Cricetulus griseus: one gene and its partner. The protein of the gene in region 2 purifies or fractionates together with the protein of the main gene of each other region. This does not show direct contact. Links are inferred from orthologs where the notes say so. Each region holds a gene or a part of one and is shown on either strand. Other genes may lie near its edges.

The links.
Region 1: the proteins of Nup98 (region 2) and Nup43 purify together in Homo sapiens (affinity purification with mass spectrometry; 4 studies listed by BioGRID and IntAct, counting the BioPlex papers as one, with this or other methods). This does not show direct contact. The link is inferred for Cricetulus griseus from reciprocal best matches to the Homo sapiens genes NUP98 and NUP43.

Annotation. Positions count from the first base shown.
Region 1 is NC_048595.1:280,415,584-280,420,199, forward strand, and holds the start of Nup43 (nucleoporin Nup43), read right to left. Parts: upstream 3,119-4,616; 5' UTR 3,052-3,118; coding exon 2,932-3,051; intron 2,617-2,931; coding exon 2,494-2,616; intron 1,524-2,493; coding exon 1,446-1,523; intron 47-1,445; coding exon 1-46. UniProt on the Homo sapiens protein: Component of the Nup107-160 subcomplex of the nuclear pore complex (NPC). The Nup107-160 subcomplex is required for the assembly of a functional NPC.
Region 2 is NC_048596.1:97,236,155-97,239,972, reverse strand, and holds part of Nup98 (nuclear pore complex protein Nup98-Nup96), read right to left. Parts: intron 3,454-3,818; coding exon 3,271-3,453; intron 2,217-3,270; coding exon 2,063-2,216; intron 1-2,062. UniProt on the Homo sapiens protein: Plays a role in the nuclear pore complex (NPC) assembly and/or maintenance. NUP98 and NUP96 are involved in the bidirectional transport across the NPC. May anchor NUP153 and TPR to the NPC.

The DNA of each region.
Region 1 (4,616 bases), on a different chromosome or scaffold from region 2:
CTGTATGGTGGTGAGCTGCTGGCCACTGCTGATTGACTGACAGAGTCTAGGCATCAGAAATGAGCATGTTATCAATCAGAGCAAAGTTCTGAAGAATGAGCCCTTCTTCCCAGAATTTTTTTTTTTTTTTTTTTTTTTTTTGAGACAGGACTTCCAAGTGTTTGGGATTATAAGTGAGCCACCAAGTCTGCCCAATAACAGTATTTTTAAGATTATAAGATTATATCTTATTATATCTTATGTCCTTGTAGGAGAACAATTCTCCCCTTTTCTTTGTATTTGAGCATACTGATGTTTAGAAACTACTTCCATCAAATTTTTGTACATTCTAATTAGACTCACCACATTTATTTCAAACTACTAATTTTTGTTACCAAGTAGCTGAATGTTAGGGGAATAAACTAATACATAAGGGACTAACCTCTACATCTTTTTCTACATGATTCCATTAAGAAAATGAATTACAGATGGGCATGGTGGCACATACCTTTGATCCCAGCACTCAAGAAGCAGAGGCAGGGGGATTTCTTAGTTTAATGCCAGCCTGATTGACATAGTGAGTTCCAGACCAGCCAGGTCTACAATAATGAGATCCTGTCGCAAAAAAACAAAGTTATGAGTATGTGTGTGTGCCTGCCTGCCTGAGTTTATGTGCATCACACCTGTGCCGGTGCCTACTCAGGCTAGACGAGCATATTAGATCCTCTAGAGTTGGAGTAATAAGCTTTATAAGCTATTGTGAGGTACCTGGTGTGGGTGCTAGGAATGGAACCAGGGTTCTCTCCAAGAGCAGTACACACTCTCGAGCCACCTCACCCGCCCCAAGAGAAAGGTCTTTAAGTCATGGGTTTTCTGAAAACCTGGCTTCTACCCATTAAAAATAAAACAGCTGTTCTGCCCTCCTTTTGATATTTGAGATAGAAGCTGAGCATGCATTCAAGCCTGGGTGCTGGCTTTCTCCTTTCAACTCTAAAAGACTATGAAAGGAGCTGACAAAACACTGTAGGGAAATTACCACCAGCAGATGTTACTGCTAGAGCTAATAAATAGTTTATTTAAAGGATGTCCAATTTCCGAAGACACGTATGTAAGCATGATGTAGACTTTATCAAAAAGTAATATGGGGCTGGGGGTGAAGCTCAGTGCAAAAATGCATGTTTTGACCCTCATCAACCTCTAAAAAGTGGACAGTATCCTCTCCTATCATGACTCCTCTTTAAGCTAGGATTGTGCTGTGTTGCCCAATCTAGTCTTCAGCTACTGTGATCAAACAATTCTTTTTTTTCAACCTCTGCAAATGTAGGAGCTCCAAGAGAATGCCCATGATTGACTCGCTTCATGTTTAAACACTGTAAAACACTGTGAACTCATTACACACAATCTTCTGTAAGTCTTCTCATAAATAATTAAAATAAAAGTTCACTTTCCCTGTGAAGGTTCTTTACCTGGTTATTTGGATGATGAAGAAACACTGTTACACATCCTGTTGACGAAGCAGCTACGATTCTTTCCTGATCAAAAAACTAAATAGAAAAATTCTGCTTATTATTATAGATTTGGAAATATTAAGGAGAAAAAAGTCCATTACTTCACCTTGACTAATAGCAAACCTTGTAAGGATTTAAAGAAGCAAGCAGCTGAAACAAATAAAATATGTTAAATGTGTTAAAATGTTTAAGAAATTTTTATATAAACTATGAGTATTTTCATGAAGGATAAATAGTAAGTTTAAAGTTTTACTCTACATTTTGATTTGGGGCTGCAATGATAAAAGTCTTGAAATGTGTCAATCGTAAGAGTAGGCAGCTTTTTACTGAGTAAAATGCACTGCATCTGAATTGATACAGATTTTTTTTTTATGAGGGAGACTCTCTGATGCCCAAGCTCATCTAATTTCTACTAAGTTGTTAAAGAAACCATAGAAGAGCAGTCCTGCACAATATTTTCTATATGTTCAAAAGATACCAGTCTCATCTGTCTGATTAGTAAAGTGGTGAACAGAACTTGACGGCTGGGATACATACACTCAAAGGTAGAGAGCACTTCCCTAGCACATGTGAGATCCTGAGAGCATCCCCATCACAACACATGATAAACCCTGACTCACAGACATGCAATGCAAATTAACATACCTGTATAACACTCACCAAACAGCATTTGGCAAGTAGATGGGCAAATTTTGTTTGTTTTTTGAGATAAGGTCTCAAAATGTGGCTCAGTCTGGCCTTGTGATCCCTCCTGCCTCTGCCTGCCATGGGCTGGAATTAGAGGCTTGCACCCACATGCCGGCTTGGACAATTAATTTTCAAACTGATTGACACAAATTCACTTTCCCAACCCCACTTCTGTCACTAAGTGCCTAAACAACGATGTAGTAAATTACAATTCAGAGATTAGTGTCCTGTAAACCAGGAATGACAGTAGACGAACTATACGGTGCTAAATGTATGATCAGATTTCCAAGTTTAGCTTTGGGGGACAACTCAGATTTACCTGTAAATCCATGACATCACCATGATGTCTGATATCGCACAGTAATTGATGGTCTCCTTCAAACCCTCCGTCAGAATCCAAATTCCCAAAATCTCCAATAGACCACAGTGAAACGCAGTTTTCCTGCAAAGCAGAAAGTTTTATCTTGGGGTGACGAAAACGTCAACTAATTCAGACTGCCTTTCGGGCGTCCTTGCTCCAAAAGCATCTCAGACAAACGGTATGTTAAGATCTGAAACGATCAGAGATGTGGCCCGTTTCGGACGGTATGTCTACAAACTTGGTGAAGGTTTAAAACCAGATCCGAGGCTCAAATACACCACCAGGGCTCTGAGGTAGGGCAGCCAAGCAGGAGACCCGCAAGCCATAAGCTGCTTTCGCGCGCTGGCGCGAGGGGCGTGGAGCAGAGCAGCCGGGGACCCGCCCGGGGCCGGGTACCTCATTGTCCCAAGAGCCCGTAGCGAAGGTCTCTGCGGTCTGCAGGCTCCCAGAAGGCACTGGCCGCCAGCGGGTCTTGCTAATTTTCTGAGACACGAACTTAGCATAAATTTCCTCCATGCTGAAATCTAGAAGAAGCTTCAGCAGAAAGCACACTGCGCGCTCCTCAGGCCCGCCCCTTCCTGCGCGGTTCTGATTGGATGAGACCCCACGGGAAAGACGGTGGCTGCAGACAGCCAATTCTCGACATCAGGAGGACGCGCCAGCCCCTAAACTGAAGGAGGTTGTGATACCGCACTCTTGAAAGTAGTTATGAACAAAGATCCAGCCCCTAAAACCTTCAACAAAAAAGACACACTCCTAAGGCGAAATCAATCTAGGAACACTGACAATATATTATTTGTGCAATGGTCGTGTAATGTGAGAAGTTTTTTTTTTAATATTTAGGGTTTTTTGTTCATTATAAAAACTTTATTATTAAAACGTTGTAAATAAAAAAATAAAATAAATTTAAAATACGTTGTAAATAAAAAAAATCATCACACACCAAAATTAACCTGACCCAAAGACTATACAATCCAATGAACTTCCATACATTTAGCTCAGCCATTCAGAAGCTGTGGAGCTTCACATTGGATTTTATACTTTCACAAATGTATATTTACTTTAATTTTTTTTTGAGACTGTGTTTCTTTGTGGCTTTGGAGGCTGTCCTGGAACTAGCTCTTGTAGACCAGGCTGATCTCGAACTCACAGAGATCCATCCACCTGCCTCTACCTCCTGAGTGCTGGGACTAAAGGCGCTCGCCACCACCGCCCGGCTATATTTAATTTTATTAGCGAATATGTTTTTATGCACTATCTACCTCCAACTCCCCCAAAAAAAATTCATGACAGATTTAGAGGTAGGAAAACAATTGCATTTATTATTCTTTTGATAAATCTTTAAAAATATTTAATTTTTGAAATTTTTAAATTGTGTGTGTGAATATTTTGTTTGCCTGTATGTTTGTGTCTATTGCATGTGTTCATGCCTGGTGGAGTCCCTGGAACTGGAGTTACAGAAGGTTGTGAACTGCCATGTGGGTGCTGGGAAATGAACTCAGGTCCTCTGGAAGAGCAACATGTGCTTTTAACTGCTGAGCTATCTTCTCAGCCCTTAAAATAACTTTATTTTTACTTTATTTTAAGTTATCTATATGTAACTGTCTGCATGTGTATATGTGCATGTGAAGACAGGTGCCTGAAGAGGCTCTGGACATTCAGGAGCTGGAAATAGAGGCAGGTGTGAGCTCACAAAACCCATGCAGGAGGTGAGAAGCCAACACTAGCCCTCTGAAAGATCAGCAAATCCTTTTAACTGCTGAATTAGCTCTCTAGACCTGTCAGAGAAAAATCTAAGTATAAAATTTTTTCTTAAAAATTCAGGAGGAAATATCTTGTACCAGCCGTGAGCACTTAGATGAACTTCACTGCACATAGAAAATGTTTTTTAAACCTTAGGGCTGGAGAGATTGCTCAACCACTAGCAGCACTTGCTCTCACAGAGAGCCTGGGTTCAGTTCCCAGAACCTACATTGTAGCTCCATTGGTACATGCCCAGGCATGGTGGCACAAGTTTAATCCCAGCACTCAGGAGATAAAAGCAGGTAGATCTCTGTCAGTTCAAGGCCAGCCTGGTCTAC
Region 2 (3,818 bases):
TAGAACTCACTAGGTAGACCAGGCTGGTCTCACCACCACACCTGGCTACAATATAGCACTGGCTATATTGATCTATATAGATCAATATGTAGATCAAGATGTCCTTGAACTCAGATCCCATTTCCTCTGCCTCACTAGTGCAAGGATTAGAGTGTGCCATCGCTGTAAGCTGTATGGCTTATAATAATAATAATAATTGTTTGTTTTTTTGAGACAGGGTTTCTCTGTGTAACTGTGGAGCCTGTACTGGCACTCACTCTGTAGACCAGGCTGGTCTTGAACTCACAGAGATTCACTTACCTCTGCCTTTCAAGCCCTGAAATTAAAGGTGTGCACCACCACTGCCCAGCAACAATACTTTTATATATATATAAAACATATATATATATATTGTTTATTTATATATAAATATATATAAAACAATATACTTATATTGTTTATTTATTGTGTACACATGTTATGTCTGCATGTATGCCTGCACACCAGAAGAGGGCACCAGATTTCATTACAGATAGCTGTGAGCCACCTCGTGGTTGCTGGGAATTGAACTCAGGGCCTCTCCAAGTGCAGTCCTCTCTCCAGCCCAGCAACAATAATTAAAAAAAAAAAAAAAGGTTTCATTTTAAATTATGTGTACACGTGTAGGTGTATCAACATGACTGTAGTTGCCTGTGGATGCCACGCGTCCAATCCCTCTGGAATGAAAGTTACAGGTATTTGTGGGATGCCTGATGTGGGTGCTGGGAATCAAACTGCAAAAGCATTACAAGTTCTCGATGGGCGGTTGGTGGTGCACGCCTTTAATCCCAGCACTCGGGAGGCAGAGGCAGGCGGATCTCTGTGAGTTAGAGGCCAGCCTGGTTTACAAACTAAGTGTGAGGACAGGCTTCAAAGCAATACAAAGAAACCCTGTCTCGAAACCAAGAACAAGCAAAAAACACACATAAATCTGAAGGACATTAAATCCTTACACAAACATAGCCTTATGTATAATTAAAAAACAAAATAGCCAGATGATGCTGGTGCACACCTTTAATCCCATCACTCTGAAGGCAGAGACAGTTAAATCTCTGTGAGTTGGGAGTGAGCCTGGTCTACAGAGAGTTCCAGGACAGTCAGGGATACAGAGAAACCATGTCTCAAAAAACAAACAAACAAACAAACAAACAAACAAAAAATCCTAAAAAACCCAACAACAAAAGCAAACAAACAGAAAACAAATAAAAAAAAAAACCAAAACAATCTCACATAGATAAAAACTGAAGTTACTATACTTTAATGTTCAGTACTAGATCTGAGAAAGTGTTACTAAGCAATGCTATAATAAGGTAAAGTTATTTTTTTTCTTGGGATGGAGAAATGGCTCAGAAGTTAAGAACATAGTTGCTCTTCTAGAGGACTTGGCTTCCCATCACCCACTCGACAGCTTATAAGTCTTTAGCCCCAATTTTGGATGATCTGATACGCACCCTCCTCAGTGCCTGAGGGAAGCAGGAACACAAATGATACAGACATACATGCAGGAAAAACATTCACATACATAAAATAATTTTTATTTCTTTTTGAGGTGAGGTCTTGCTAAGGAGCCAGACTTATCCTGAATGCAAAATCCTCCTTTCCTAGTTTCTTAAGTGCTAAAATTAAAGGCATGCCATATAATGCAGAGTTTTAAGCATTTTTTTTAAGATTTATTTATTTATTATGTATACAACGTTCTGCTTCCATGTATATCTGCACACCAGAAGAGGGCAACAGATCTCATAGCAGATGGTTGTGAGCCACCATGTGTTTGCTGGGAATTGAACTCAGGACCTCTTGGAAGAGCAGTCAGTGCTCTTACGCTGAGCCATCTCTCCTGCCCAGTTTTAAGCATTTTTAAAAGTTAAGTTTATAGCCAGTACAAACATCTAGTATGTTTTAAAGATCACATCGTGCTACAAATCTCAGGCTGACTGAAATCATAAGGGGTTAGGCTAGAGAAATCCTTTTAGCTTAGAAGATGTGAAAAGTATGACCTTACAACAGTTTTTTTTGTGTGAAAACAGCACATTTTATACTGTACCGATTGAACGGGATTTTGATGAGTGGGAGGCTGAAATAGGGCGTCTAGGAGAACAGATTTCTTGAACAGTATCTCCTTTGGAGGGGAAGTGACTGAAGTGTTGATCCATGGCATCTCCATCTTCCTCATCCACAAGCAATGATGCTTTCATGATCTAAAAAAGGCAGTATCTATAGAATGACTATTTCCCACAAATGGAAGACCACAAAAGAAAATTGCAGTTTAGATGAGCTTAAAAAGTACCATTTCTTCTAAAGTCTGTAACAAGAGCAAGTATAACATTTTTGTGACCTGTAGCACACCACTATACTGCATGTACCCGAAGGACTGAAGTCACGAAGTTCTCTTCTTTGTATTCACTGTGTTCCACCAGTGGTTGCTGTTATTTGCTGAATTAATGATTTAAAAGTCAAACATAGTCAAAGGTTAAACTCATACAAAAATGCTGCAGCTACAGGAAGAGAGCAATTCAACATGTGTTTACCATGTTCTTAAAATTTCTAAGTTTGGGGCTGGAGAGATGGCTCAGAGGTTAAGAGCACTGTCTGCTATTCCAGGGGTTCTTAGTTCAATTTCCAGCAACCACATGGTGGCTCACAACCATCTGTTATGAGATCTGGTGCCCTCTTCTGGTGTGCAGATATACATGGAAGCAGAATGTTGTATATATAATAAATAAAAATCTTTTAAAAATTTTTTCTAAGTTTGAAACCTCAACACTACTCTTGTCAAGTAGACAAAGTGATTTTTTTTTTGGGGGGGGGTGGTTTGAGAGAGGGTTTCTCTATGGCTTTGGAGGCTGTTCTTGAACTTGCTCTTGTACACCAGGCTGGTCTGGAACTCACAGAGATCCGCCTGCCACTGCCTCTGAGTGCTGGGATTAAAAGTCACTGTCCAGCAACAAAATGATATTTAATAGAATTTAGTGCTGGCAGTTGTTTAATTTGTTGCCTAAAGTCAGGACAGTAAAGTTACAATACTTGGCTAAGAAAACAAATCTTTTGATTTTATGCAGTAAAAACAGAAACCACCTTATCATCCTCAATATACTAGGAAAAAGAGGCCTAGGACATGGGCCTATTTCCTTTTTCATTATAGTGAACTCTCAATGGTCTTAAGTAAATAATTAAAGAAGACCTATGATATTATATAAAAAATTGAATGTTAGTTTGATTTTCTACCACAGTAAGGATGAGCCAAAACTTCACCTGTAAGACATGTGGATTAATTCCCAGCGAAGATGCAATGTGTGTCGAAGCAGACACTGGCTCTTGATCCTCAGGCACACACTCTTCTAAGACAGAATCCAAAACTGGCTCCTGAGTGATATCTACCATGTCACTGTCCAGTTCCACAACCCTCCCTAACTGCTCCACTTCGGGGCTCTGGCTCTGCAAACAGCAAAAACAGAGAAGGAAGATTAAAATACCCCAAACACAGGAAAGGTAGGCCAGATAAATTTTATTTAGAGTATGACCTAGAAATATTCTCCATATTCTAAGAGATGTGAGCAGATTTGCTAAGAAAATTTAACATTAATTGCCTCTCTCAGTATCTGGGACATAAATGGTTCATACACTATCCTTTTGGAATTATCCTGAGGCAGGGTCTAGGATCTAAGTCAACATCCAAGCAGTGGTCTTCAGAAACAAAGATTATACCGTACCTTCCTTTGTTAGCAACTATAGCTTCCTGATTTACAAAGGGTCACCCTGCCCTCCCAAATGACTTGGAGTTGTTAAGTAATTGGGAAGAG